Rattus norvegicus: one gene and its partners. The protein of the gene in region 7 purifies or fractionates together with the protein of the main gene of each other region. This does not show direct contact. Links are inferred from orthologs where the notes say so. Each region holds a gene or a part of one and is shown on either strand. Other genes may lie near its edges.

Region 1 (4,155 bases), on a different chromosome or scaffold from region 7:
ACTCGAGAAAAGCAAATATCATTCTAGAGGGGAGGATGCTTGGAAGTTTATATAACTGTGGAAGTGACTTACTTGCTTCAATGGTGAAACCAAGTTCCAATTTATCTACACTAAAGTATCCAGTCAGATAGACAGCAAGCTCAACAATTTTCATTAGGCCGCAGTCTGGTATAGCACTCATACTCTTCCAAAGTTTTAACAATTTAAGCCAAATGCCCTAACCAACTACTTAAGTAAAATAGCAAAATAGACATATTAAGACTTAAGAAAAAGATAAACAATAACATTACCTGATCCAGACCCTGATGTTGTCATATCATAAATTAAATCTTTTAAGGTGGTGCCCTCTGAAATGAAAGGGCGATCTAGTGAGGGATCCTCTTCATTTGGTACGCGGTGGTGAATGACAGTGCGGTTATGGCAGATATAGACCATCAGCATAAGTGCAATGCAGACGAAGCAGACTGGACCAGCAATGACAGCTGCCAGCTCCACAGGACCGAGGCCAGCTGACTGCTTTTCTGAAAAAGGTCCTCAAATGAAATAAACATCAAGAGAAACAAAACACTGTAGGTGGCACTCACATTTCCCAAATCCTCCATATTTTCCCAAGCGTCCAATACTATCACTTAGTCAGAGCCCCGTCACACAGGGCTCAAGGCAAGATCAAGTTCCCCTCTGTCTGGCCTCCCTCTCACTCTTCCTGGGCGTCCCTGGACCATCTTCTCATTTCTCGTTGAGTGCATCAGCTGACCACCATCCTAGACCTCCTTCCCTGCTTGTCACTTCAGGTAAACTAGAAATGGAACCAACTATTTGAAACAACTTCCAATAACTCATTTTTTTAAATAAATTTTCTTCATATTCCAAGTCTACTGTAGGCTTATAGCAGAGGAAAATATATAAATATAGTTAATAAGGTTTTACAAAGTATCAGCTTCCTTGTGATCCTTCAAAGGCTCATACTTTAGTGTATACATTTCCACCAACTTTTTAAAGCATAAAGACTTCCTCTGTTTACTCTTGTTTTTTACTCTATTTATACATTTTTAAACCTTTCCCTCTCTTATTGTGAGACAGGGTTTTAGCACATAGTTCGTCCAGGCTGGCCTCAAACCTGGGATTCTTCACCCTCTGCCTGACAGCACGGAGATCGTTTTTAAAATAGTTTGTGTATGCATATTCTTTCTAGACTATTTTTTGCCAACTGCATTTTTAATTACATTTATTTTCTTATAATCTCTAAATAAATTAACATTTACCATTTCAAAAACACATTAATATGTTTAAATGTGTCAACAATTAAAGAAAAGAAGGCCAGGAATTTAAAAGAGGAAATGGGGAGGATATATGAAAGGGTTTGGAGGGAGGAATGGAAAGGGAGAACATGATATTATAATCTCAAATATAGTATTTAAATTATATTAATAATAATTTTGGCACTTACCAAACTTTACTTAGTTAACTTGGTTCACTGCTCCCTGCCATTTTTTTTTTCATTTTTGACATCATCATTTAGGTTAATTTATCATATAAAACTCTCTTTCTAGCAATATTCTTTCAGGAAGAATCTTAAATCCTTATATACTGTAAACTTAATTAGATATCTGAAGACAACTGTTAACCTTTGTATAAGAAAAGTCTTTCTAAAAGGCTTACTTTTTTGGGTGATAACCAATATATAATATTCTACTGCCCTCTGATACTGGAATAAAGTAGAAAATCTGAACATTTTCCTCCTTTTTTGGTAATCAGTCTTAAATGCACTGAGGCTTTTTCCCCATAAAAATTCTACTGGACCAGCAAAACAGCTTGTGGGAAAAGATGCCTATTACCAAGTCTGAGAACCTGACTTCAACCCACAGGAACCAAAGGAGAGTGTACACACACGCACACATGCACACACGCGCACGCACACACACGCGCGCACACACACATACACGCACACGCACACGCGCACACACACACACACACACACACACACACACACACACACACACACACTCTGCAGAAATTACTCACAGTTTTGGCCTGTAAGCAGTATTCATTCTTCCATTAAATCTGCTAGTATTAATATAGGTTTTCTCCCATTTTATATTCCTTTGACTATTAAAATAAGAATTCAGGACTTGGAGAGAAAGTGGAAAATTTCCATTTAATTCATTAAGTTTTAAATTACTAGCTATACCAGAACCCTTTATTATTATTTTATGTGTATGGATATTTTGCCTATATGTATGTTTGTGCACCATATCCATGACTGGTGCTTGAGGTCAGAAGTAGGCATTAGATCCCACGAACTGGAGTCACCACATGAATGCTGGGAATTGAACCTAGGTCCTCTGAAAGAGGATCTTTTTTTAAAAAGTATTAAATATTAATTTATACTTACAGATCATAGTGTAACATAATACAAAATGGAAACATTTAGACTGGTTGGTGCACTCGATTTCTGCCCATTAAAAGGCTGTTCATTGGGTTGCCTTAAGATGTAAGTATACCATACGAGAAATGAGAAATGAGAAATTCACTCTGAGAACAAGGCAAGGAAAACCCTAACAACATGTTACCCTATGAGATTCTAGAATTCACTTTGAAGAGGCTACCATTGCATGCATAGCAGATCTCACTGAGAGTCTCTGGGCACTGCTTTCTCTAACACATACCCAGGAGTCAGGCTCCTGGCTACTCATAAATATACAAGGCAACTCTCTGCCTCTACCCTCAACAAGTCAGGCTTGACAATTTCTGTAAACACTTGCAGTTCTAAATTTGTAGGCAGTCTAGAAGCTTTTCTTTTAGCATCTTGGAGGAAGGAAGGAAGGGTGCTAATACAACAACTTACCTGTAGTTGGGAGTTCTATTTTATTGCAGTGATCCTGATTGCAGCAATACGTAACTGCCCCTGTTTTTGAAGATGGTGCACAAACAAATGGCCTGTCTCGGGGAATTAGGTCGATTTCAGCTATACACATGCTATTGTGTATAACTTTGTCTGTGGTCTCGGTGACTGAGACAAAGCAGAGACCATCTGTCTCACAAGTAAAATTGTCCTTTGTACAGAGGTGGCAGAAACACTGTAATGCTAGAGAAAGAGAATAAGGTTTTATTAGAAAAAAAGAGTACCAAGGTTAAGTTTAAAAGTTCACACCACTACTACGTTTTAATTATTATAACAATTTATGCACTGTTCAAATAATGAACATATTATTCATAGAATGTCCAAGAATTACACATATATACAGGCCAGGGTGATTTGGTAAAATTTTGACGTAGCCTCCCCCACCCACCAAAATTTGCCTCCTAGAAAAAATTTCCACAAAATTTCATCTGCCCTCCCATTTGAAATACAGTAAAGTTATACTTGTTCCTAATACTAAATTACACAAACACACACACACACACACACACACACCTCTACAGAGCAATGTGTGAAAATAGTGTCACAAATTTACTACAGGTTGGAAACACCATTTCAGTGGATTTGTGGTAATGAAATAATAGAAACATTCATATTGAGCCACAGATTTTCTATTCATCCTGTGCAACCCCTAAGACATGTATCTTTCCACTGGTATAGGGAAGATTATTCCAGCAACAATTTATATATTCTAGCCATATGGAACATGGCTATATGCCCACTGTATCTATTAGATCTTAAGACTCAACTCTAGGAATGACCTCTTTATGGAAGTGTCTGCTGTCACCAACATCTTCTGTCATACATACCCATACTCTCTAATGGGGTTAAGTGCTTCCCCCAAAAGTATACACAGCTTACCAGAAATGCTGATTTTATTATTTTCTCCCCTAAGAAAATAGAAGCTTTTTGAATTCAGAGACCCATATCCATCCTGGAAATCCACCATATATGGTTCTATGCCTATCGGGAGTATTCAAAAGTTCTTGCTGAATAAACAACACAATAGGTAATCCAATTACTCACTGGCAAAGGAAAAAACCAGTTAGGAGGAATGGCCAAACATGATGAGACCAGGAAGGTTCATTATATCTAGAAAAAGAGTAGTGAGACAGACAGCAGCCCAGAAGAAAGCTATCTTCCTAAATGGCTAGTGCAAGGAAGTTTACTTTGCAGGCTGAGCTAACCCACCCAGCATATTCACAAGAATAGCGTATCTTCAGAACTGTCCTTGA
Region 2 (3,047 bases), on a different chromosome or scaffold from region 7:
GGTAGAATGAATAAACCACAGTCACAGTCTGAGGCTGTGTAGACTACCCGGGCTGGAGGCTGTGCTAGCCCTGGAGGCTGCCTGCCCTAGAGCTCCAGTGCTAGCCAGGTGCATTGACGCTACTGAGTGCTGCACACACGGCTCTGGGCCCACCTACCCACCCCACGCCCACGCTGCTCCCTCACGTGTGACTGGACCCTAAGCAAGTCTGGGAGACAGATGTCTCCAGGCTTCACTCTCTTAGAATTCTGTTTTGTAGTTTTAGATTTCAAAGATGTGTCAAGATTTATTTTTGTCTGGAATTCTCAAAAAGGTAGAAAGCCTAAGTAAGTGCTGGTGTTCTTACTGTTTCTGAGTCGGTGGCACAGATCTTGATGAAATAATTAAAACTTACTAAGGTTTTGCTTCCCAGCCAGAGAAAGAATAGTTGGGTGGTACCACACAGGCCCCAAACTGCACAAGAACGATATCGCCATCAATGAACTCATGAAGAGATACTGCCCCAACTCGGTAAGTACACTGTCGTCAGAACACTGTCATCAGAACACTGATGCTCTCTGCCCCTACTCAAGTAAGAGCCTCCTCAGAAGGCCTGGGTAGCCAGGCATGCTTTTGTGTCTCCAAAGCCTTTAGCAGTAATGTGGAGCTGTGTTAATTTGGTGTGACTTAGTATATTTAATGGCACCTGCTGGTGCCATGTACATCTGACTTAATCCTCTCAGAAACTGGATGTTGGCTTTATAAATGAGGAAACCGAAGTGAAGTATGGCTAGAGGGCCAGCAAGGTGGCTGTGTCAGTGAGGAAAGACCCTATCACCAAACCTACAAGGTCTCTGCCTGGACCCACACTAGGAAGAGAGACTCCCACAATTCTGTATATTCTGTGTCTCTATCTCACTGTCTCTGTCTCTGTCTCTCTCTCTCTCTCCTTCTCTCCCTCCACCTTTCTCCTCCCCCCCCCCTTTCTCTCTAGAAAAATGCAATGTTTAAGTGTAAAAAAAATTTTTTTAAGGTTAAGAGTGTAAATTAAAAAAAAGATCTGGTGGGGAGTGAGGTACAGGTTGGAATTTGGACAGGTGAACTGTGGGTCACATGAAATGTCAACTTATTTTCGCTGAATATCCGGCTTGTTTCTGATTGAATGAAGAAAGTGGTGTGAGTAGTCAGAAGAAGTCTTGAAGTTGTACCTTGTGTCAAAAAGGAAGGCTCTTGCTAAGCTGTGTTCTCTGCCAGGTACTGGTCATTATTGATGTGAAGCCAAAAGACTTGGGGCTTCCGACCGAAGCCTACATCTCAGTGGAGGAAGTTCATGATGTAAGTCCTGCTTCGGGCTGCAGAATGGATTAGCAGGTTCTCGGGTGACTTTGGGGGCTTTTTGGTTTGGTTTTGTTTTCTTTTCCATGTTCAACTCAACAACTCTTTCTCTGTAACAAAGAGAAGGTTGAGTGTGGCTAGCAAACCAGCCTTGAGTTTTTTAATCATCAAATTTTAGAAATAGAAAAGGATTGAGGAACCTGCCATCCTTTTTCACTAAAGAAACTGAAGCCTTGGTGAGTGACTGAGGTGAAGCCCAGAGTTGTCATTGAGACCAAACAGTTCAGTGCTTACACCTCAGAGACCTTCACAGCGAGGGAAAGGGAGGTCTGGGAGGCTTCTGCTCTAGTACAGTGGGCAGTGCACTCGTGAGTCCTTCAGACAGGCCCTGGGTTCTCAAACATAGCAAGACAGCGCCATGGTGAGACCTGTGATCTTTGTGGCTGGGATTGCATTGAATAGAGCACTGAGCAGTAGCCAATCTTTCTCTATCCTCAGGAAAGCTGGTTTGGAGCTCTTTGGTAAAGCCTGATGTAGCAGGGTTGGGGGATGGGCACAGAGTATTTATCAGGGTGTCCAGGAGCCTGGTCTTCAGAGTCAGGAGGGATTAAGAGTGTAATACCTCTTCTTTATGGCTTTAGGATTTGAAAAGGGTGTTCTAGGGTGGTGCCCTCCCAGCCTTGCACTAAGCCTTGTCCTGTTCTTTTGCAGCCCTAAGGAGCTAGGTCCAGATGTTGTTTGATGGCATTAAAGCTTTTACCCCTGGTTCCTTACCCGTTGTCCTGAAGTTCTCAGGCCATCCTAGTGTCCAAAGACTAGAGTGACCTTTAGGGAGTCCCCATGCTGCCCTGAATAATATGAGAACCAGCCACACTCCAGCAGGTCCAATGTGTAACGTGACTTGAGAGACTTGCCCAAGGCCCTGGGGCTCACTTAGCCAAACTAGTGGAGCCCTTAAGTCTGAGGAGCCCTCATAAAAGATCATGACCTCTGTTGGCAACAGGGCTGAAAAGTTCCACCATTGAGTCACCAGATGGTGGAGTGACCAGCCCCTCAGTGGATGCTTTTTGGTTCTTTTTTTTTTTTTCCTCGGAGCTGGGGACCGAACCCAGGGCCTTGCGCTTCCTAGGTACGCGCTCTACCACTGAGCTAAATCCCCAGCCCCATGTGGATCCTTTTATTCTACCCTCTAGTTACTCTCTGTCACACTGGGACTACTCGGTCATGTGATCCAGGGGACAGTACGTGTTGGCATGAATGTGCCTCAAGTGCGGGTATTCTGTATTTCCATTCTAGAAATTCTTAACCTGAGTCTTCCGTGCATTGCTCCACCCCACCAGTGTGGGCTTGAGGGAATGCCCCAATTTTCCTTGACAAGAAAGCTTTCCTCAGAGAACAATGTAGTGGCAGCACCATGCAAACAGGCTAGCAGCAAGGTCTGTCTTAGCCTTGAGGGCTTATTTTTCAAAGTGAACCTGACCCCACCATTACTGTGGAAGTCTTCGTCTCATAGCCATGACACGGGCCGACTGGCTGCAAAAGACTCGGGTATGAGGAGAGAAACGTGCCGGTCGGCTTGTTGAAAATAAGTAACGATAGTTAAGCCTCTTCTCGCAGGACGGAACACCAACATCAAAAACTTTTGAGCACGTGACTAGTGAAATTGGAGCAGAGGAGGCTGAGGAGGTTGGAGTGGAGCACTTGTTACGGTGAGTCTGCTAGGGACTCTGCAG
Region 3 (4,949 bases), on a different chromosome or scaffold from region 7:
TTTTTTTTTTATCATATAGTGCGGTAGGGGAATGGTCTGCAGACCTAACTCCTACCTTGACTCCTACCTTGTTTGAGTTGCTAGTAACTCAACCCAGGACCTCTAATGAATTATACTTCCAGCCCTTGAAAGTATCTATCAGGTTAGAAACAGAAGTTACTGGTCAGAACATATAATTCCGGTTGGAAGAAATAATTACAGTCCACATTTGGTAAAAAATCTTTACCCCACCCCCATGAGTTTTATTACTATCCTGTTACAATTTCAAGAGACTTTTCTTTTTTCTTTTTTCTTTTTGGTTCTTTTTTTCGGAGCTGGGGACCGAACCCAGGGCCTTGCGCTTCCTAGGTAAGCGCTCTACCACTGAGCTAAATCCCCAGCCCCTCAAGAGACTTTTCAAAAAAACCCAATAAATATGTGAGTCTGGGTCACCATGCCAACTAGTTGTCTCAGTCACATTTAACACCCTAGTACTATCCTCAGACCAGCACCCACAGGACTTTCGCTTGACAAATACCTTTTCTAGTTCCAAGCAGTCACCTGCATCTGGGGATAGCTTTCTCTGGAACCTGAGGTCAAGGGAAAAACTCTCTGACCCCAAGTAGGCCCCGCATGCGATTGAATGCTCTAAGCAGGTCTGCTCACTGGGTAACGTTCGCGCGCCAGGAGGCCGAGTGGCGGGTGCCGGAGGTCTTCCAAGCCCGGAGGAAACCTGACGGCGGCGCGCAGGCGAGCTGCACCCCTCCTCCCTCCAGGATGCTGCCCCTCGCTGCTCGTCAGCCTGCCAAATGCATTCCAGAGCTGTGCACAAGACACACTTCTCCAGGCAGTCCTAGAAACCCGAGCCCGGAGCGGGAGAGGGCGGGAGGGAGCGCGGCGGCCGCTGAGGTCACATTCGCGCCGCCTCTCCGCCCTCGGCCGCCCGGCTGTTCCCTCTAGCGCACACTTCCCAGGGCCTCTGTCCTGGCCGGTGTAAATGTCTTTGAAACAGACAGCGATCTCCTCCCCTTTCCAAGGGATCCGCCGCCAGGGCCTTAAAACAAAACGAATGAATGAAGCGCCCCGGCGAGCTCCACTGGTCTAAATCGGGCCACTGACCGGCTCATTCCGCTCCAAACTCGCCCGCTCCACGCCCCCAGCTCTTCCGATTTCCCCCTGCTCCCCCTGGGTCTCCGCCGACCCCCGGGGCCGTCTCGGCCTCCCACCTCCCTCCGCCCGTGGGTACCCCTCTGTAGACCTGGGAGAGGGTGGCGGTAACTGGGAGGGGGGTTGAAATAGCTTTTAGAAACCCGATCTGTTGTTTGCGAAACACAATCGCTTTTTTTTTTTTAAAGCGACAGGGTGTCTAGACGGCCACGTGACGAGGCCGGAGCCGGGCGCGCCACTGCGCAGTGGAACCAGCCGAGCGGAGGGACGGGTGGGGGGGCGGGAAGGAGGCGGCGGCGGCTGGGGGCGGGGGAGGGAGGGGTAGAGGGGGGAGGGAAGGGGGCGGAGGCGGGAGGCCTTGCGGGAGGCGGCGAGCCCTGGGCACATTCGCTCGCTGCTCGGCGCACAGAGGATCTTGTCCCCGAGCAGCGCCAGCAGAGCCAGCCGGGCGCCTCGCTCGGTCCGCTCGCCGCGCCGGAGAGCTGCCTGAGACGCAGCCAGCCAGCCGGCGCCACGCCGCCGAGCGCTCGGCCCCGGAGTCCCTGAGTGCGGCGCGGCGAGCCCCCAGCGGCGGCAGAAGGACTCGAGCGCCAGGAGAGGGCGGACGGGGGACGAGGAGGCTCCCGGGCGCGACGAAGAGAGTCTCGGAGGAAGAGGCTGCGAGAGGACACCCGGGCCTCCTGCCGCCACTGTCGGGTCGGGGCCAGCAGCTTATGCGAGCAGCCCCAGCGACCACCCTCGGCCAGGAGAAGGGGCACCGGCAGCCCCCACGCTAGCTAGCCTGCCGCCTGTGCCCTCGGGGGCGAGAGCTTGCGACCCGCCGGAGCCCGCCGCCGCGCCGCCCTCCCCCGCGCTGACAGCCCCCCGGGGCGCAGCCGCCGCCGCAGCATCTTCTGTCCCTGCTTCCCCAGCGCGGAGGAAGTCCCCGCCGAGGACCTGGGCCCCCGGGAGCGCAGGAGGAAAGACCAGAGACTCTAAAACACCCAGATACGCAAGATTGAAGCAGCCTAACCAGACCTTTCTGTGGATTAAAAGAAATACGATTTTTTTTTTTGACAGAAGAAAAGGAAAGGAAGACCGGCGGGGTTCAGCAAGGAAAAAAAGGGGATGTAACTCGTGGATACGGTTTTTCCCCCCACCCTTCCAACATCTTGTTCTACTTTGTAAACATTTTCTCTTTTTAAACCCCGGCTCCATCCGGTGCCCTCCAGACCTCCGAGGTGCGAGAAGGTGGTGTGTTTTTTCACTGGGGGCTTTGCATATTTGGTTTTGGGGTTTTTGAGAGACCCTCCAGACATCTCACGAGGGGTGAAGTCTACTCGGCCCCCTCCCTCAAGTCTTCGCGTGCACAGAATTCGAGGAGATCCGGTTACTAAGGATATAGAAGAAAAAAATAAATCGTGTGCCTGCCTTTTTTTTTTTTAATTGCCTGCTTCTCCCCACCCCCAAATTAAGTTGCTTAGCAAGGGGGAAAGAGGCTTTTTCCTCCCTTCAGTAGCTCAGCCTAACGTCTTTCGTTTTTTGCCCCTGAGGATCTTCCATGTAGGAAGCCGAGGCTGGCGAGCCCGACACTCGGGAGCCACTGTAGGGGGGCCTTTTTGGGGAGAGGCGTCGACCGGGGCTGCCTCGGCCGCCCCCAGGGAAGCGGCGGCCGCGTTCCTCAGGGGCACGCCGGGGCCCGAGAGCCGCGCAGGGCGCGGGCCGCGCCGGGTGGGGCAGCCGAAGCGCAGGCCCCCGATCCCCGGCGGGCGCCCCTGGGCCCCCGCGCGCGCCCCGGCCTCCGGGAGACTGGCGCATGCCACGGAGCGCCCCTCGGGCCGCCGCCGCTTCTGCCCGGGCCCCTGCTGTTGTTGCTGTCGCCTGCGCCTGCTGCCCCAACTCGGCGCCCGACTTCTTCATGGTGTGCGGAGGTCATGTTCGCTCCTTAGCCGGCAAACGACTTTTCTCCTCGCCTCCTCGCCCCGCATGTTCAGGACCAAACGATCTGCGCTCGTCCGGCGTCTCTGGAGGAGCCGTGCGCCCGGCGGCGAGGACGAGGAGGAGGGCGTGGGGGGTGGCGGCGGCGGAGGCGACCTGCGGGGAGAAGGGGCGACGGACGGCCGGGCTTATGGGGCTGGTGGCGGCGGTGCGGGCAGGGCTGGCTGCTGCCTGGGTAAGGCAGTCCGAGGTGCCAAAGGTCACCACCATCCCCATCCCCCATCCTCGGGTGCCGGGGCGGCCGGGGGCGCCGAGGCGGATCTGAAGGCGCTCACGCACTCGGTGCTCAAGAAACTCAAGGAGCGGCAGCTGGAGCTGCTGCTTCAGGCCGTGGAGTCCCGCGGCGGTACGCGCACCGCGTGCCTCCTGCTGCCCGGCCGCCTGGACTGCAGGCTGGGCCCGGGGGCGCCCGCCAGCGCGCAGCCCGCGCAGCCGCCCTCGTCCTACTCGCTCCCCCTCCTGCTGTGCAAAGTGTTCAGGTGGCCGGATCTCAGGCATTCCTCGGAAGTCAAGAGGCTGTGTTGCTGTGAATCTTACGGGAAGATCAACCCCGAGCTGGTGTGCTGCAACCCCCATCACCTTAGTCGACTCTGTGAACTAGGTAAGAAGTTGTTCTGAGTCCACCTTTCGTTCCCTCTGGCGAGGAAATGCTGGTAGAAATGCTCGAGGGTGTGTGCATTATCTCCTGGAGGAGACAAGGGAACTAAATCAAAGAAGGAACGAGGGGGGGGAAACTCTGACATTCCTTGGGGTTCCCTTTCAAGATTTTGCTCTTGCACCATCCCCCCTCCCTCCAGAGGAAGAGACCCAGGGATACTGCTGCTTAGCCTTATACTGAACTGACATGCTGCAGAAAACGAGACACTCTTATTTCCGGGTATGCAAGGGGATACAGAGCAAAGTGGGGGATCACGCTTCCCCCGCACCCGGAAAGGCGTTGAGGTGTGTGGCCGAGTTGGATTCGGCCCAAGCCCGCCAAGGAAGGCTGGGAGAAACTAGCTTTAAAGGCTGGAGAGTCTCTCCTTTAGTAAATAAGGACAGTCACGTGGGGCACGAGTGGCCCAGATACTGTCCTGGCCTCCCAGCTTTGGAGTTTGGGGGCAGTGGTAGGATGGAGACTGAACTGGGTATCCAGTCTCAGCTGTGCACACTTCGGGGCGAGAAGGAGCAAACAGCCTGGAGAAGTTGGGTGGCCTCTACTTTTTTATCTTTATTTCGCACAGAAAAGCGTACAATTAGTGGTCCTTAGAACGCCCGACACTCCCACCCCTGCGTTTCAGTGACGTCCCTCCCTGCACCATAATTGGCCTGGGCTTCATGGCCGGGACCCTGAACAGGTTCCTCCCCATATTATCCTGTTAGGTTTTCCATGCCTTCTGTTTGCTCCTTGTCTTTGTGCTCAGGGTAGAGGATCATGCCCTGATCCCTGCAAATCTTCCAAGTTCACCAGCAGCTCACTTGGGTGTTTTTTTTTTCCCTCTCAGGTGGGCTGGCTGGGTAGGATTCCCTAGTGCGTGGGTGCCAAGCTCAGCAGTGGGGGCGGAGGTGAATTGTGCTCCTAGTGGCGGGGAGGGCCGGAGAAGCGGGATCTGTAGTTGTAAAAGACACTAAGCAGCCCCAGACGCCCCCCACCCTATGGACTGTTCATTGCGCGGCCCAGCCGCTGGAGCCCTGGCCCAGCCGGTGGTTTCCAGCTCGGCCCGCCGAGCGCGGCGGCGGCGGCAGCCGCAGACGTGGAGGAGCAGAGCGCCGAGGCTGGCGCCAGGCGGCCTCTTTTGTTTATCTGACAGCTAAATATCAAGGCAATCACCGCCTCGCGGCCCTGC
Region 4 (4,155 bases), on a different chromosome or scaffold from region 7:
CTTAGACTGAGCAGCAAAGTAGTAGTTTGCCAACTGAGCAAACTCAGTGACACTGTGCTAATAAAGTTCATCATCATTATTGGACCAATAAATTAAGAACCTTTGTCCTAGAGGGGGTTGTAAACTCTGTAGTAAAGCACTTACTTAATTTGCATAAGCTTTGAGTATTACTAGTATTACCCATACTTCAAAAAGATGCCAGGAGTGGTGGTACACCTTTAATGTTAACACCCAGGAGGCAGAGGCAGGTGGATGTCTTTGAGTTTAAGGACACTCTACTGTACACAGTAAGTTCCAAGCTAGCCATGGCTACATATTGAGACTCTATCAAATCTCTCCCTGGAAAACAAAAACATAAAAAAACCTATGAAAAGAAAAAGAATGAAAAGAAATCAGTTACTAAATAAAGCAAGAGGACTAGAAAAATGGCTCGATGGCTAAGAACACTTCTACTAGACTGGGCAGTGGTATTGAACACCTTTTGTCCCAGCACTCAGAAGCTAGAAGCCAGCCTGTGACAAAGTGATAGCCAGGGCTACCCAGAAAAACCCTGTCTCAAAACAGCAAAACCAACAAAAAACCCAACTAACTGAAACCCACTTCTGCTTTTCCAGAGGCCCAGGGTTCAGTTCCTAGCACCCACACAATGACTTGTCAATGGGTACAACTCCAGGTCCTGAGCATCTGGCAGTCTTTTCTGCCCTCCTCAGGCACTAGGGAAACATGTGGCACATATTCATACACTTGCAGGCTATTCAGGCAAAGCATTCATACATATACAATAAAAATAAAAAGAAAGCTGACTGTAGGGCTAGAGACATGGCTCAGGGGTCAAGAGCACTGACTGCTCTTCCAGAGGTCCTGAGTTCGACCCTCAGCAACCACATGGTGGCTCACAACCGTCTGTAATGGGATCCAATGCCCTCTTCTGAAGATGTCTCTGTACTCATACATAAAATAAATAAATAAATCTTTAAAAAAAAAAGCAAGCAAGCAAGCAAGCTGACTATAGTAGCCCACACCTGAAATTCCAACATTCTTACAACAAAATGGGAACTGGAAAAAAGTGAATGGTTGGCAAAATCCTATGTGGAACACACTGGAGGTAACAAGAGAGACACCCCTCCTCCCAAACCTGTCTCAACAATGTAGAAGGAAAAACTGATAAAAAACTATACATGGGCACACCTGTACATCTGCATGCCTGTACACACACACACACACACACACACACACACACACACACACACACCACTAAATTTAAAGGGTGGGGAAAAAAAAAGCAGTGATAAATTTTCCTTTTTTGCAGCTCTGGTATCAAACCCAAGTACCTTCTACAGACGAGGCACATGTTTAACCACTGAACTAAAAATGGATCTTTATAAGCAGGTAAATACACAGAATACATAGTAAGAAAAAACCATAAAACTCTAAAATATGCCAAGATAAAATAGACCCTGGGTTCATCCCCTAGCCCTACAAAAATTAAAAAGTAAATATATGTTTTTCAGACTCATTTCACATTACTGGTCTCTGATTTTGGTACACTAACCCCAAAAGCTAAACATAAGTCAAGTCGGTTTGAAAACCTGTTTGTGTAGTTATTTACTCCTCTGCATTTAAAGTGTTATCTGATGTGTATTAGCACCTTTCTCTTGGTAACTTAACAAACTCACAGGTCAAAGCCATTGGGAATGATGTAGGAGTCCCACCACTCAATTTCAGGGATGTCGCCTTCCTTCAGCTCTTTTTTAGGAGCAATGAGGGCAAGTCTAGTCGACGTATGAATGCCTGTTTTTCTAGCAGCCTGTGAAATCTCTGCTTGCAGCTTTTCCAACTGAGCCTAAGAGCAAGACCAAACAAGGTAGGGAGGTAAGTTAGAGCAAAGAACGTCGTAGAGACACAAATTTGACAACAAATTTAACTCTTATTAAATTCTCACACCTAATGTAATGAGTTCACAACGTCTCAAGGGTTTGAAAGAGAAGCTGCCTCACTTTACTCGGTTTACTTACTCCCCCAACTCTTGTCTCTTTCACTCATACTGCGTGTTTTCAGTAGACATACATTGGTGGGAGTCCATAGAAACCTCACTCTGAGAAGACAAAAGGGTCAATCTAACTAACTACAGTCAATCCAACGCTCCCAAGCACATAGATTTCCTGTAGTCAATTTTAAAATCAGGCAATCGTTCAACAAAAGAAGTCAAGAAATTGCTTTGAGCTGTTCTCCTCAACTGTCAGTCAATGGGAAAATATCTACATAAGCAGAAAGCAGTCAGGAAGAGAAATCTAGTAAACAACAAACATTCTAAGAATATTAGACCACTTAAACCAACTACTCATTGTTTTAAATTGTTTCTATTTCCCAAATATATGGACCTAAAAGTGTCTTTGTGTCAGCTTCTTAACTTCTAAATTACCTTTGTCCGTAATCGTTGAGCAATCTTCTCAAATTTGCCCTTGTCATGGAATTTAAAAGTGCGTCTTTGACGCTGGGAAGGGGCAATTGAGACTCTGGGGTCAAAAAAGGTATTAGATTCCATGTCTTCTGATGGCTTTTCTTTTAGTTGCTGTTTGAACTGTTCCCTCTTCACAGCTCGAATGTTTGCCTTCAGGGTGGGCATGCGGTGTGTGAGCTCCACCTCCTTGCCTGTGGCATCCACAGTGCGGCCTTGCTCATCCAGGATCAGTGGGGTGGGCTTCGTCTGATCTTTTAACTCGACTTTCCTGAAAAAACAAAACATCCCCCAAAGAAATAAATCCTACATGGAACAACAAAGCAAGGAAAACCCAACAGAAAACAAAAGGAATCAGACTTATCAAAGACAATTGTAAATTAACCTTAGGGAAGGCAATCTCATCAGTGCTTAGGCTTGGTAAAATCTCCATTTAAAAAAAAAAAAAAATCAGAGGGCTGGAGAGTTGGCTCAGTGGTTAAGAGCATTGACTGCTCTTCCAGAGGTCCTGAGTTCAATTCCCAGCAACTACATGGTGACCCACAACCATCTATAATGGGATCCAATGCCTCCTGGTGTGTCTGCAGACAGTAAATCTTAAAAAAAAAAAAAAAAAAATCAGGGTTGGGGATTTAGCTCAGTGGTAGAGCGCTTGCCTAGGAAGCGCAAGGCCCTGGGTTCGGTCCCCAGCTCCGGAAAAAAAAAAAAAAAAAAAAAAAAAAAAAAAAATCAGAGTAGGGGGACTGAGAAGAGATGGCTCAGTTGAGAAAAGGACCTGGGTTTGATTTTCAACCCCAGTTGGGCCTTACGGTTGCCTGTAACTTGAGTTCTAGGGAATTCTAGGCCTCTTTCTGACCTCTGAAGATACCATCTACCCAGGAGCTACAAAGATATCTATGCAGGCAAAATATTCATATGCATAAAATAAATCTTGAAACAAAACAGCAAAAAATGTAAATTAGTTCTGTTTTTTAGCTAAGAGTTAATATAAAATAAAACATCAAACCATGATGAGGATATATCTCAGTATTTGAGAATTTGTACAGCACATTCAAGTTCATGGGCTCCCACAAAAAATACATCAAACCAAGTATTTGGAAACAGGGTATAATCAAATGAAATTAATTCTAAAATCATATTGAGAAAAATTTGTTCTTTTTTCCCCCTGGTTTTTCGAGATAGGGTTTGTGTAGCCCTAGCTATCCTGGAATATAGCCCAGACTGGCCTCAAACTCTGACTTCCCTGCCTCTGCCTCCTAAATACTGAAATTAAAGACATGTGCTCTTGCCACCACCTGGTCATTATCTAATCTTGTTTTATTCCCAAATTCTTCTCCTTTTTCAAAATTTATTTTCAGGTCCTCCAGAACCAGACTTAAAGATAGCCAACCTGTGAGTACGGAGAACCAAACCTTGGTCCTCTGGAATAGCAGCAAGTACTCTGAACTACTAGCCACCTTTCCACCAAACCCTCACCTGCCCTTTTTTGTTCTTATTTCACCTGCATTGGTGTTTTGTCTGCATGTAAGTCTGTGTAAGTGCATTGGGTCCTACAGAACTGGAGTCACAAACAATTGTGAGCCACCATGTGGACACTAGGAATTGAACCTGAATCCTTTGGAAGAAGAACCAGTGGTTTAACCATTGAGCCATCTTCTAGGTTATTCCCCTTCACCCCCATCCCTTTTGTGGTGGTT
Region 5 (4,155 bases), on a different chromosome or scaffold from region 7:
AGGTATGCAAGATTGGTCTGGAGTCCAGGGTATCCTTCAGGGTGTCTGTTGGTGCTGCCATGGCATGGGAATCAAGTCAGTGGGAACTATGCAGGAAGGGTGATAAAGCACACAAACTCCTCAGGATTGAAAGTGTGGATCACGTCCCCAGAAAGAGTGACCTGTTGAGATGCTTGCTGAGGGCGGAGGAAATACAGATGGGAGTAGAGTATATGACGAACTGCAGAAATGATGTTTATAATTGACATAAGTGTTTCTGTCATATTTTGTTAAGAATGTGTTTGCTCAGATATTTGTGTTTTCTTTCCTGTTACGTTTTTATCCTGAAGTGTAGCATCACTGAGATAACATCAGAGTGTAATTGTATTTGAGGTACTAAAAGAATGTCCTCCAAAAACATTGTCACCTTCTCTAAAGTACATAATGTGCTTCTGGTTGTAAGTGTGATAGTATGTCAGGTTAGGTGAAATTTTGACCTGATTGTTGGTTTTATTTGGAAATTAAGCATGAAATAAGATGTGATGGTGTGTTGGCTTGACAAGGAGTAGACGACTTGTCTTAGCTATTCTTGATGGTCAACTTGATTATATCTGGATTTACTAACATCCCAAGCCTACACTAGGCATACCTGTGAGGGGTTTTTACCTAATTGGATCATTTGAGGTAGGAAGACCTATTTTAAATGCAGACTGCTTGAAGTTGGAAGACCCACTTTAAATCTGACTGCACCTCAGGGCAGCCTATACAAAGGCACAAAGAATGTTTGTCTCTGCCTTCTTGCACACTCACTGGCAAGTTCATAGATCTTGCTGGTGAGGGGACGCAGTCCTTCACTGCTGCCAGAGCCGCCTCCTCCAGGATTCATGTATACTGAAGACTGCTGAGACACGGAGTCTCGTGCACTGAACCCATGCTGGATTCTTGGACTTTCCTTCAGGAGACAGCCATTGCTGGACTAGCTGGACTGCATTCTGTGAGCCACTCTAGTAAACCCTTTTTATCAGTTCTAGTCCTGTAGAGAACTGAGTCTTTTTTCATGGACTTAAAAAGTATAGACTGTATTTTTTAATTGGTTTTTTTAATAAGCAGCATAATTGGTCCATAAATGAAACAATATAGAAAGGTGTCTGGTGAAAGCTGGCTCCCAGTGCTCCCATCTCTGCTTGTGTGGTCACTTGGTTAGGTCCTAGTGTTTGCTTCCAGGGCGTCTTTATTTTTCATGCAGAAAATACATGCATTATTCCCTTTTTTATATATAAAAATCACAAACTGTGAACACTTCTGGGCCTTGGTGGGTTCTTTTTTTAAAGCAAGTATGTATGTGCATGTGGATGCATGCATTCCTGTGTGTGCACACACACACATGGGTGCATGCATGTGATTACTTGGCATCATTTCTCTTACTGTGAGTTTCTGGAACCGTTCTCAGGTGTCTAGCCTTGGTAGCAAATCATCTTCTGAGCCCCTAAATCTGTGTATCACCATAGTGTTTTGTGACTTGTTTTTTTTTTTCTCTAGGCTGGCAGGACTTCCAAACATACTCCTCCCTCCCTCCCTCTTTCCCTTCTTCCTCCCTCCCTCCCTCCCTCCCTCCCTCCCTCCCTCCCTCCCTCCCTCCCTCCCTCTTTCCCTTCTTCCTTCCTCCTCTCCTTCCCTTCTTTCTTTGCGCTTTTGAAATTTTTGGCAATTTATTTCTATACCTAAAAGTCAATGGAAAACCATTACTAATTCTACTAAAATAGACTCAGCATTTTAATTGAAAACCATAGTATAATTAAGTATAATTAATGTACCATATTCTAAAATACAGCTTGAACACATGCAGTATACTACTTAATTTTGGTGCAGTGGATTTGAGAACAAGCATATATTGTTACAAGTATTATGGGTGGATTACAGCTTATCACAGTCATCATTTCTTTGTCTCGAAAAATCTATTAAGTCTTTCAGAGGAGGAGACATCAAAGATTGGTCAGCAGACACTGTATTGCCAGTGCACATCTGCATAAACCGTAGCTTCTTGGCATGGCTTGAATACATTTTAGCATCATCTAGAACTGTGGTCACATATTGGAAGGCACACTTCAACATCTGATCATAGCTCTGGGCTCATAGTCTGTAAGCCCCATATCCCTCACGACTTGTGCTAGCATCTGTCCATTTTGAGCAGCCATCTTGTCAGACTCCATGATAGATGATGATCAGGCTTTTGGTCTTGATGTAAGTTCTTTCCTTAGCATGGTTTTTCCAACCCATGGAGTACCTGTGAGCAGTCTTTTCTCATGTGCCTAAAGTGTATCTTTTTTATGTTTGTCAAATCAATTAAAGGATAAGATGACTTTAATAATATGGCCGACAACCTAACACAGCTGAGAAAAGTTCCAAAGCTTACTGAACTCTCTCCTACATTTTTAACCCAATAAAACTCTCTGTAGTTCCACAGATAAGACCTACCATTTCCCTAATGTTGTGGTTCCTTTGGCTACAGCCCTCAGACTTGCAGGACAGGCAGGAGGTATGGCCCTCAGACTTGCATGATGGGCTTGGGCTATTTCCTCCTTGAATTTAATATCCTTGACTGAAGCAGGACTGTTAGAGAAATGATGAGTTCTCCTGGAGTGGACAGGATGGTGGCCTATGCTGAGGACCTTTTACTGACCTTTGATTGGCTCACCTGGCACCTCTTGAAGGTTGTTGGAACTCCGGCTTTCTGTAATGGCACTTACCGAAAGCTTTGAGATCCTCAGCCAAGTGGCATGTAAGAATGCTGAAAGAGCGGGGGATTAGGATCATATTGGGGAACATGGTCTCCTGTCACCTGACAGGCTTCCTCTTCAACCTGGAGTAGAATAAGCAGGAGTCAGTAGTCAGTGATCCATGCGGCTTTAGTGTGGGTGTTGCCAGTACTGTGGTGACGTTCCTCTGCTCATATTTACGAACACTTGGGCCATGTCAGAGACAAGTTGATTATCCTTCCTGTCTTAGTTTTGGTACTTTGGATGCAGAGCCCCTTGTCTGGAAGTTGGCTCTTAAGTTCAGCTAATTCAGTGGTCACCGTGTTAAGATGGTGCTTCTGCTTGCTGATGTCTTTCCATGTGGATTGCACTATCGCTTCAAGTGAGTCAAGCCTGTGAGAGATGGAGGAGTCATCGATGGACAGCGTCAGACTGAGTGCCTGCCTGTGTGCTTGTAGACTGACTCGGTATCTTTATGTTGGTGATCGTGAAAGAGCACTGGCGTGTGTGGTTTTAGGTGCCTTTTCTCAGGTGTGACAGCAGCACTGTCTCCAATGGCTTGAGGATGAGGTTAAACGTGGGAAATCCTCAGGGAGGCAGAATTCTTCTTCACCAGGTGAAGGCATAGACACATCCTATGTCTGATGGAGGGACTGAACTCATTTTGCTAGGCATTGGTTTTTACTTATTTAGATGATTATGTACTTCTAAGTTTGTCAGAAAACTGAAGAATATGTCTTCAAATTTCAGTGAGTCAAATTGATAAAATCTCTAATGTAGCTATAGCTGAGAAAATGCTTTTCTGCAATATGAAAAGCAATTCTGAATGTGAATTGATATTATGGTTAAGTTTTAGATACTGTCATATTACTTGGTATGTAGTTTTTTGTGTGTGTGAAAATGGAAGAATATAAAAATGTGTCTTTTCTTTTTGCATAGCTCCACCAAGTATGTTAGTGAAGGATGAATATGTTCATGACTTTGAAGGACAGCCATCCTTACCCACGGAAGGACATTCGATTCAAACCATCCAACATCCACCAAGTAATCGCGCATCCACGGAGACGTACAGCGCCCCAGCTCTGTTAGCCCCATCAGAGTCTAATGCCACCAGTACCACCAACTTCCCCAACATTCCTGTGGCTTCCACAAGTGAGTGTTGCAGTCAGATAGAGTCGTAAGTTTTCCTAACCATGGGATATGTATCTGTAGTCACTTGGAGCTGTTGTGGTCTTTCTGGTGCTGGGTATGGTATGGAGCCTGATACATGCCCGGTGAAGTCTCACTCTGGAGCCATACCACTCAGCCTGGAAGTAAACATATGTTAGGTTGGTATTTGAATTCGTTATGGAGAAAGTAGTGTTTGTAATTTGTTTAAAGTTTCTAATACTGACACACAGTCAAATATAGTGACTTTGAC
Region 6 (4,738 bases), on a different chromosome or scaffold from region 7:
GTTTTCCTAATACTCTTCATGGTCCAGTTCCCACTGCTACAAATGCTAAGAGAGCTTGGGTAGTTATTAATTTGGCTATTAATCAAGGTGGCAAGAGGTGAGGTACGAATCTGGACTTGGGTTTGCCTGATGTGAAACCCCGCTGCCGAACGCCGTGCGAGTAGAACGCTTCACACAGCTGAATAGGACACTGGATTTGCAAGGTGTCTTTCTGGTCCAAAGCATACCAAAAAGCCCGTTTGAGGTGGATGCAGCTTCTGTGAGCCACAGTGTTAGACACACTTAGGGGAGTTGACAGAGGTTGACTTAAGAGGCCGAGCTATGTGTGTGTGGTCACAGGCAACATTTCTTTTTCATATTTGTGGTGCAAAACATAACCAGAAGAACAAACTCCATCCCTTCCTCTTCCAAAGGCACCAAGAGCATGGATTTCTGGTGTTAGAAAATCTCCATCTCAAACACCAGGGCTCCTGAAAACATATAATAAAGACCGGACATGAGGTAGATTTCATGTACTAGACACAGATTGCTCAGAACGTGGCATTAATAATATATGGGCCACGTCTATTTTTACAGGTAATTTCTGTGCACATTTTCAGTTTGTCTCATAGTGTTTACACATTATCTCAGCCAACACTGCAGGGTTAAGAAAGGAAAGAGAAACTCATTCCCCCCCCCCCCGCCCCGCTCCCCACATACTTAAAAACAAACAAGAAGCAAAAGCAGGGATTTCTTTCTTCCCTTGCTTTCTTATTGTTTGTTGAGACACGTTTTCTCTGTGAAACCCTGGCTGTCCTGGAACTCCCTCTGTAGACCAGACTGGCCCCGAACTCCGGAGATCCACCAGCCTCTGACTCCTGAGTGCTAGTACTAAAGGTATGTGCCACCACCACTCTTTAGCACACGGTCTGCATCCTGACTTCAAGTCTGGTGGACCGCTTTGAAAGTCCTTCCATCTGCTTTATTTTGCAGATCTAAGGAACTCGGGCACTGAGAGGCTCAGAGACTTGCGAGACACACAAGGCAACGTCAGTCAGTCTACGGTCCTCAAAAATCCTCTTTATAGAAACGTCACACTTGTGTTTAAACCGTGAAATCACAGCCTGATCACATCCCCCAAACCCAGTCAGGAAGCCAGGAAGATGGGGTCCTCCAGGTTCCGGGAATCCTGTCTGTCTCTGGCTCGCTCAACAAAGGGTAAAATTCTCTTCTGGGGTTCTGGATTTTCACCGACAGATCTCTCCGAAAACCTCTGTACTGTTAAGGTAGCAAAGGACCAAGGCCAAATGACGCTGAGACAGTCTCAGCCTGGGTCCGAGGGTCCAGAGGTCGCTAAAGAACGCGTGCTGCAAAGGCGCACAGCACCTTCGGCCCCGGCCCCCCAGCCGCCGCTGCCTCCCCTCCCCCATTCCCCTTTCTCTTTCTTTCTTCTGGGTCGCTCGCCCCACCCCGCGGTTCCTCACGGCTCCTGGGCCAATGGTCTCAGGGCCCCGGTGCACAGCAACTGATGGGCACGGGGTTCCAGGCCTAGGCCAGCCAATCAGGGCGCCTGGGGGCGGGCACAAGCTGCCAATAAAAAGTACTGAGCAGCCCGCAACCCTGCACAGCCGAGAATGGGAGTAGGGCGGAGTGTTTGAGCAGCACACCCATTTCCTCTCCGCTCTTCGTCTCGTTCTCGTGGCCTGTCCACCCATCCATCATCCTGCCGGCCACCGCTCTGGTAAGCGCACGGAGGGTCCAGGGGTGCACAGCCACCCGGGCTGTGGCGTCGCACTCTACATCCCAGCTCCAGTCTGTTGCTGCTTGGCGCGGGATGCAGCGTTCGTGCCTCCCGCGTGCTTGTAGCGTGCGGCTCGGGCCGGCTCTGTTTGGCGTTCCTAGGGCGCGCTGTGAGCCAGGCTCCGGGAAGGGCGGGGTTGCGGGTTGTTATGATCTGTTTTTTACTTGAGGCGGGAGGCGCCGCCCCGGAGGCGGGCGTCCTGGGTTGGCTACCAAGCCGAGATCCGGGGCGACTCGGTGGTCCCAGCGGGAGTGCGCTCTTCTTGCCTTAAGTGGGCGCCGGCGCCTTGATCCTCTCTGGGCGGCGCGATTGGGTGAGTTGTCACGCTGTGGGTGGTCTGGTTGAGGCTGGTGGTCGTTAGCTTTGGTGGCACCACTCGCCAGCACGCAACGCCTTTACCGTATGACCGAACAATGGAGAGCCGGGACCCCGGAGTGGCCGGAGGGCTCTGCAGTGGAGAGGCGGGGCCGGGCGGAGGCAGCAGCAGCACGCTGTGCCTCCCGCCGTCGCTCCACTCTCGCCGTCCGGCCTCTGTCCTCGCCGGGGTATGGCCCCTTGGGAGAGGCCTTGAGATCTGCGGGGGTCCGAGAGTCGGGGCGCCGACTTTCCGGTTATTTTAGTGGGAAGGGCTGCTTCTCAAAGTGGATTACCCCAACTCCTCCGGGGGCGGGAAGCGGGGATCCTCCCCCAACCGCAAATACTCAAAGAAAGCACCGGCTGAAGACATAGACGATGGAGAGTCTCGGTTCTCAGAGTCCCCTTCTAATACCTTCGGCTTCGTTGCCTACTCTGTGAACAACGGGGAGAAGTCGAGGGCTAAGGTTAAATCCCACCAGCCTACTTATTCCAGCACCTCCCACTCCGAACGATCTGGGTCCCCCATCCCATCGCCCTCACCCAGAAAGCAGCGTTGCTTAGACCAGCGAGAAATGGAGCTGGAGGAGAGGAACGAACACTACTCTAAAAAGAGGAGGATTAGAGAGTACAACCTCAATGTATTTGATTCACATTGGCTGGGGTGAGTAAAAAGGCAGGGAGAAGGACCCGGGTGCATCTGGCAACAAGCAGAAACTACTCAGAATCTTAAGAACCCGTTCCACTTTGCACCACAGGGACACTAGTTGGTGCTAGGTACACTAGGCTGCTGGTACCCAACTGGTTTCCAGGAACAGAGGAGGAACCCAGGTTCACCTAAAGATTGTTAAATGCTGGATGTGTAAGCCACAGGAGAGGCAAGCCGAGAGAGAATTGGGTGGTGTAAGTTGAAGCCATCTGGAATTACAGTCCAGGCCTCGGAGTGGTGTAGGTAGAGGTTCTGGTTCTGTGTAGAAATCCACCGCAGAGATTCATCTGTTCCCCAGGGAAAGGGTTAGGCTTTTGGAGGGAGAAGCACTTGTTTTCACTTGGGCAAACATGGACAGTTGCCCGTAGAAACTTTGCCACTGTACTTCAGAAAGTTGCCCAAGTCGCTGGGAGGAGAACAATATGTTCCCTTTCCATCTATCCTGGGTGATTAGGGAGGGGGATGTTTCCTCTTGGGTTGAGGCTGGTTTTGCAGGCTCTGATTCATAGAGGATCTTGTCCCCTGCTCCTGTGACTTGTAATCTTGTGCCCCCGGGGTCTTTATTAGAGGTGGGATTTTTTTCTACTCACCAGAAAATATCATCTGGTGGGATCTTCTCAAATACTGTAATTTTCGCATTGAAATCTGTCTCTGGAGGAAGGACTTTTCATCCCAGTAATGAAGTCAGCCATTGAGGCCTGGTGTAGAGGGGAATACCTTTAATCCCAGTTCTCAGGAGACCGGTAGATTGTCTGATTTCAGGAAATCTTGGTCTTCATAATGAGTACCAGGACAGAGAGGGCTTGTAGAGAATTCCGTCCCCCCCCCCCCAAAATCAGCAGTGTACTCGTTCAAGTATGGCTTTTACTTTTCACCACATTAGTGGTGGCATTTAATACAGGGTTGTTTTTCTTTCTCCGAGGAGTATGTGAGTGTGTAAAATCTTACTAGCTCCAGTGTATCATTGTTAAATCTAACTTGGCAGTGGCACACACTTTTAATTTTAGCATTCGGGAAGCCAAGGCTGGCCGATGTGGGTATGAGGCTAGCCTGGTCTACATCGCAAATCCCAGGGCTACATAACTAGGTAAACCGTCTAAATGCAGGGACTAGGGGTCATGATGGGGTGTGCGTGTCCCTTAAGGTTGTTACAGGAATAGGAGGTGACAAAGGAAGGCTCAACAGTCCATTAGTCAAGGCTTTCTGTGGCAGTGAGGTAGTTCTGTTGGGTGGAATGAGTTATGTTAATGAGCTTTTTGATATTTTGTTCTGTTTTACTAATGTATCTCAAGGTTAACAGTTATTAAAATCCCTTAACTAGTCCCCCTGAGGGGGACGATCTTTGTCTAGTAGGAAACGTTAAACCTCTTGCAAACAGAGTGAATAAAGCACCTTTTACGTGTGTTGAGTCCCAAAGGAGAGAGAGCACGGTGCCCTCCATCCAGTCTGACTCCTTTGCCACTCCTGCAGGGGATCCCTTTGGAGTAGATGTTAACCGAACGATCTTCGTCTCTCTCCAGAACACCTTCCACCATGGCCACCTCAGCAAGTTCCCACTTGAACAAAGGCATCAAGCAGATGTACATGAACCTGCCCCAGGGCGAGAAGATCCAACTCATGTATATCTGGGTTGATGGTACCGGGGAAGGGCTACGCTGCAAGACCCGTACTCTGGACTGTGACCCCAAGTGTGTAGAAGGTGAGCGTGGGCAGGAAGCAGAGCATGTGCCTGGGAGAGTGTGCGTGCAACGCAGCCTTGGATCCTACCTCCCTTCTGTTTGCTTTGCAAGGCTTTTCAGACCTTAGTCAGTTACCCGTAAGTAAGCTGCTGTGTGGTCTGGAGGCATAGTAACAATGGAAGCTTTTGTTTAAATAGAATCTTGCGTGTGCTGGTA
Region 7 (3,253 bases):
GAACATACATATATACATAAAGCATTAAAAAGTTAGGATCTGCTTATGAGGATTATGTTTATCTTTTTGAGTCCAGGTTGTCTCACTTTTCCAGATAATTTATTTTCATAAAAATTTATTATTTCATTTTTCTTGATGGCTGAATAAAATCTGATTATGTACATATACCTCATTTCCACTATCCGTCATCTGTTGATGAACATCTGGACTGGTTCTGGTTCACTCTAGTGTGAACGTAGCAGCAGTAAACATAGATGTGCGAGTGTCCCTGGTAAGATATGTGGGTCCTTGCACATATTCCAGCAGTGGTACAGCTGGGTCTGTGGCACTTCTCAGCTTAGCATTTTAGAAAGCTCCATACTGAGTTCCATAAAGGGCTGTACCAGTCCACACTCCCGCCCGCCTGCAGGAAGTGAAGCTTCCACTTTCCATACATCCTCAACAGCACTCGTCATTTGCATCTTGATCTCAGCCATTCTTACTGTGGTTAGGTGGACTCATAGTTTGCATTCTTGTTGGCTAAGTGTGGCTCATATTTAAAACTATTGTTTATTGTTTCTTTTGAGAACTGTTCACTGGCCCATTTATTGGTTGACACTTTTGTTGTGGGGGTTGAATTTTTGTAGTTCTTTATTTAGATTTAAACCCTGTTTGAAATATATGTAGTAAAGATTTTCTCCCATTCTGTAAGCTGTCAGTTCATTCTGCTCATTAGTTTCCTTTGCTCTGCAGAACCCTTCATCTCCTGTAGTGTCCTATGTTCATTCTTGGTAGCCTGGGCAATCTTATAAAGTGATAAAGGAGCCATGAAGATGCTCAGTGGTTAAAAGCACTGGCTGCTTTTCCAGGGACCCTGGGAACTCTTCCCAGAAACCAAATGACAGCTCACAACCATCTAACTCCAGTTTCAAGGGATCCAGCGCCCTCTTCTGGCTTCTATAGAACCAGGTTTCTCATTGATGCTCAAACATACTTGCAGACCAAACACCTATACAAAGTAAAAACAAATTTAAATAAATTATAAAAGATACACCTTTTATTGGACACTAGCTCTCAGTCAGGACATGAAGCTTCAGCCTCAGTTGAATCCTTCATAGATAGGGGTGGGACAGGTGGTCATGCTCAGGTGCACCAGGCCCTCCGCGGTGACCCCTCTTTGGTGGTAATTGTATCGATCATAACCTCTATGCAAACCTCCAGCAGTGCCGTGACGGGGTAAAGTTCCACATCAGTACCCAGCTTCCAAGTCTAATCAACAAGCTACTTCTCCTCCAGTGGCTCAGGCCATGCCACCCTGCAGTCCTGGGTTAGCAAAGCCCAGTTGCCTGCAAGGGCTGCTGGGAAGGGAATGCATACCCTTGAAAATAGTCCTTTGAAATGAGTATTTTCAAGTTGGGAATGGTAGCACACACCTTTAGTCCCAGCACTCGGGAAGCAGAGACAGGCAGATCTCTGAATAGGAAGGCAGCCTAGCCTATAGACTGAGTTTTCCAGGACAGCCAGGGCTACACAGGAAAGCATGACTCAGAAAACCAAAAAGAAAAAGAGATGTCTTTCGCATATGTGAATTATACAGGAACAGGTTTCTGTATGACATTTCAGGGGTGTGAGTAGTGTCCTTCGGTAAGCTTTATTCTCTGGACTTGTCCCATCTACTCCTGCCCTTTTCTGTTCCTGATTGTCACTTTTGTACTTTCTTTTTTTTTTTTTTTTTTTTTTTTTTTTTAAAAAATCAGTGTTCTCCTAATAAATACTGGAGAAAAGTTCAACATGTTTAACCACCTGAGGAAATGTTATATAACAGGAAAAGTTGCACTAGAGGTCCAGCATAAGCTGAAACACTTGTTGTTAGATAGAAAGATACTCAACCTTCAAGTAAATAGAAAAACTATTGTGTTTTATATTATGGTAAGTATGTTAATTTATATTTTGACTATATATATTTCTTAGTCCAAATTATATAGAATTAACCTGTTTATTTTTAAATATAGAAATAATAATATTTAGCCAATTTTAGTTGCTTCCTTATGATCATGTGTAGTTTTACTATTTGTTTTTTTGTCACTAAAATTGGTTATTAGCTAAAACTTTGTGCCATATCAGCTATGATTTTTGTGTGTTGCCACCATTGACACACCTTACTTGTTCAACAGTCCAAAGCAGCATACGTGCTCTTCTACCAGAGACAGGACACTTTCAGTGGAACTGGCTTCTTCCCTCTCGACCGAGAAACTAAAGGTGCTTCAGCTGCCACAGGTGTCCCCCTGGAAAGTGACGAAGACAGCAATGATAATGACAATGATCTAGAAAATGAAAACTGTATGCACACTAATTAATGAAAGTCCAAGAAGCCATACGAGAGAGAGAGAAAGAGAGAGAGAGACTTTCCTGCCGGTGGTATCTGTGGAGACGGAGTTACCCACCGCATTAAACAGAGGTCTGAGAGGAGGCGTTTCAGATACCCGAATGTAAATCCTTTATCAGATTTTAACTTGTGCAGTACTTGAAGTGAAACACAATGAAAACTTTAACAGAAATTGTCTCTTAATACATTTACAGTCTTGTATTTACAAGCTAAATATATATAGGAAATCACAAATAAATCCCTTTTAAGTTTGCTGCTGTTTTGATCAATTATGTTTTCTTTAATTTTTGGATGTGACTTAATTGATGACAAATGTTAACTTTGTGGATGTTGGTCATTAATTTTGCTCTAATAATACTGCAAGGAAACTCTGGCTGAACTTGGTTCTTGGGTAATCTAGTCCTGTGCGCTAGGCTGGCTGTCTGCACCTCTCGGGTACTTAGCTGCTGTCAGTGTGGCCCAGACACTGCAGTGCCCTTGGTACACCAGATCTCCCAGTCTGTCTGTCCCTGGTAATCAGTGTGGGTCTGTTACCACAACCCGAGGAGCAGCCTTGAGGAAGTTCCCTTTTGTTGTATCATTAAAGTGCAGAACATTACGTTTATCTCGCTCACTGTGGGAACACGTTCTAGATTTCACATGCCATCAAAATCATTTTCAGCTACATGTAAGTATCTTTCACTGCAATTGGAATCTATAAATTTTTCAATTTTGTTTTGGTTTAAAATGCTTATCTTCAATTCACTGTTGGTTAAAATGAAAGGTTTCATGTTTTGCTGTCTATTATTCTCCACTCCATTTTGGTAATTTGGCAACTTTTTAGCTCTCCCAGTTACTATAGCTTTAAGGCAGGCTGGTTAGTACTCTGTATCTGTACTAAGAATTGCA

What was found.
Region 1: the proteins of Usp15 (region 7) and Tgfbr1 purify together in Homo sapiens (affinity purification with western blotting; 4 studies listed by BioGRID). This does not show direct contact. The link is inferred for Rattus norvegicus from reciprocal best matches to the Homo sapiens genes USP15 and TGFBR1.
Region 2: the proteins of Usp15 (region 7) and Psmd7 purify together in Homo sapiens (affinity purification with mass spectrometry; 3 studies listed by BioGRID, with this or other methods). This does not show direct contact. The link is inferred for Rattus norvegicus from reciprocal best matches to the Homo sapiens genes USP15 and PSMD7.
Region 3: the proteins of Usp15 (region 7) and Smad7 purify together in Homo sapiens (affinity purification with western blotting; 3 studies listed by BioGRID). This does not show direct contact. The link is inferred for Rattus norvegicus from reciprocal best matches to the Homo sapiens genes USP15 and SMAD7.
Region 4: the proteins of Usp15 (region 7) and Prpf3 purify together in Homo sapiens (affinity purification with mass spectrometry; 3 studies listed by BioGRID and IntAct, with this or other methods). This does not show direct contact. The link is inferred for Rattus norvegicus from reciprocal best matches to the Homo sapiens genes USP15 and PRPF3.
Region 5: the proteins of Usp15 (region 7) and Smad4 purify together in Homo sapiens (affinity purification with western blotting; 4 studies listed by BioGRID). This does not show direct contact. The link is inferred for Rattus norvegicus from reciprocal best matches to the Homo sapiens genes USP15 and SMAD4.
Region 6: the proteins of Usp15 (region 7) and Glul purify together in Homo sapiens (affinity purification with mass spectrometry; 3 studies listed by BioGRID, with this or other methods). This does not show direct contact. The link is inferred for Rattus norvegicus from reciprocal best matches to the Homo sapiens genes USP15 and GLUL.

Annotation. Positions count from the first base shown.
Region 1 is NC_086023.1:66,479,905-66,484,059, reverse strand, and holds part of Tgfbr1 (TGF-beta receptor type-1 precursor), read right to left. Parts: intron 3,086-4,155; coding exon 2,846-3,085; intron 534-2,845; coding exon of another isoform or gene 522-533; coding exon 291-521; intron 1-290. UniProt on the Homo sapiens protein: Transmembrane serine/threonine kinase forming with the TGF-beta type II serine/threonine kinase receptor, TGFBR2, the non-promiscuous receptor for the TGF-beta cytokines TGFB1, TGFB2 and TGFB3.
Region 2 is NC_086037.1:52,405,422-52,408,468, reverse strand, and holds part of Psmd7 (26S proteasome non-ATPase regulatory subunit 7), read left to right. Parts: intron 1-412; coding exon 413-510; intron 511-1,233; coding exon 1,234-1,314; intron 1,315-2,931; coding exon 2,932-3,023; intron 3,024-3,047.
Region 3 is NC_086036.1:71,261,819-71,266,767, forward strand, and holds the start of Smad7 (mothers against decapentaplegic homolog 7), read left to right. Parts: upstream 1-1,689; 5' UTR 1,690-3,111; coding exon 3,112-3,724; intron 3,725-4,949. UniProt on the Homo sapiens protein: Antagonist of signaling by TGF-beta (transforming growth factor) type 1 receptor superfamily members; has been shown to inhibit TGF-beta (Transforming growth factor) and activin signaling by associating with their receptors thus preventing SMAD2 access.
Region 4 is NC_086020.1:186,078,692-186,082,846, forward strand, and holds part of Prpf3 (U4/U6 small nuclear ribonucleoprotein Prp3), read right to left. Parts: intron 2,730-4,155; coding exon 2,423-2,729; intron 1,844-2,422; coding exon 1,677-1,843; intron 1-1,676. UniProt on the Homo sapiens protein: Plays a role in pre-mRNA splicing as component of the U4/U6-U5 tri-snRNP complex that is involved in spliceosome assembly, and as component of the precatalytic spliceosome (spliceosome B complex).
Region 5 is NC_086036.1:69,539,540-69,543,694, reverse strand, and holds part of Smad4 (mothers against decapentaplegic homolog 4), read left to right. Parts: intron 1-3,674; coding exon 3,675-3,887; intron 3,888-4,155. UniProt on the Homo sapiens protein: In muscle physiology, plays a central role in the balance between atrophy and hypertrophy. When recruited by MSTN, promotes atrophy response via phosphorylated SMAD2/4.
Region 6 is NC_086031.1:68,574,465-68,579,202, forward strand, and holds the start of Glul (glutamine synthetase), read left to right. Parts: upstream 1-1,601; 5' UTR 1,602-1,720; intron 1,721-2,071; exon of another isoform or gene 2,072-2,093; intron 2,094-2,384; exon of another isoform or gene 2,385-2,709; coding exon of another isoform or gene 2,710-2,798; intron 2,799-4,363; coding exon of another isoform or gene 4,364-4,376; coding exon 4,377-4,542; intron 4,543-4,738. UniProt on the Homo sapiens protein: Glutamine synthetase that catalyzes the ATP-dependent conversion of glutamate and ammonia to glutamine.
Region 7 is NC_086025.1:60,642,976-60,646,228, reverse strand, and holds the end of Usp15 (ubiquitin carboxyl-terminal hydrolase 15), read left to right. Parts: intron 1-2,153; coding exon 2,154-2,336; 3' UTR 2,337-2,618; downstream 2,619-3,253. UniProt on the Homo sapiens protein: Hydrolase that removes conjugated ubiquitin from target proteins and regulates various pathways such as the TGF-beta receptor signaling, NF-kappa-B and RNF41/NRDP1-PRKN pathways.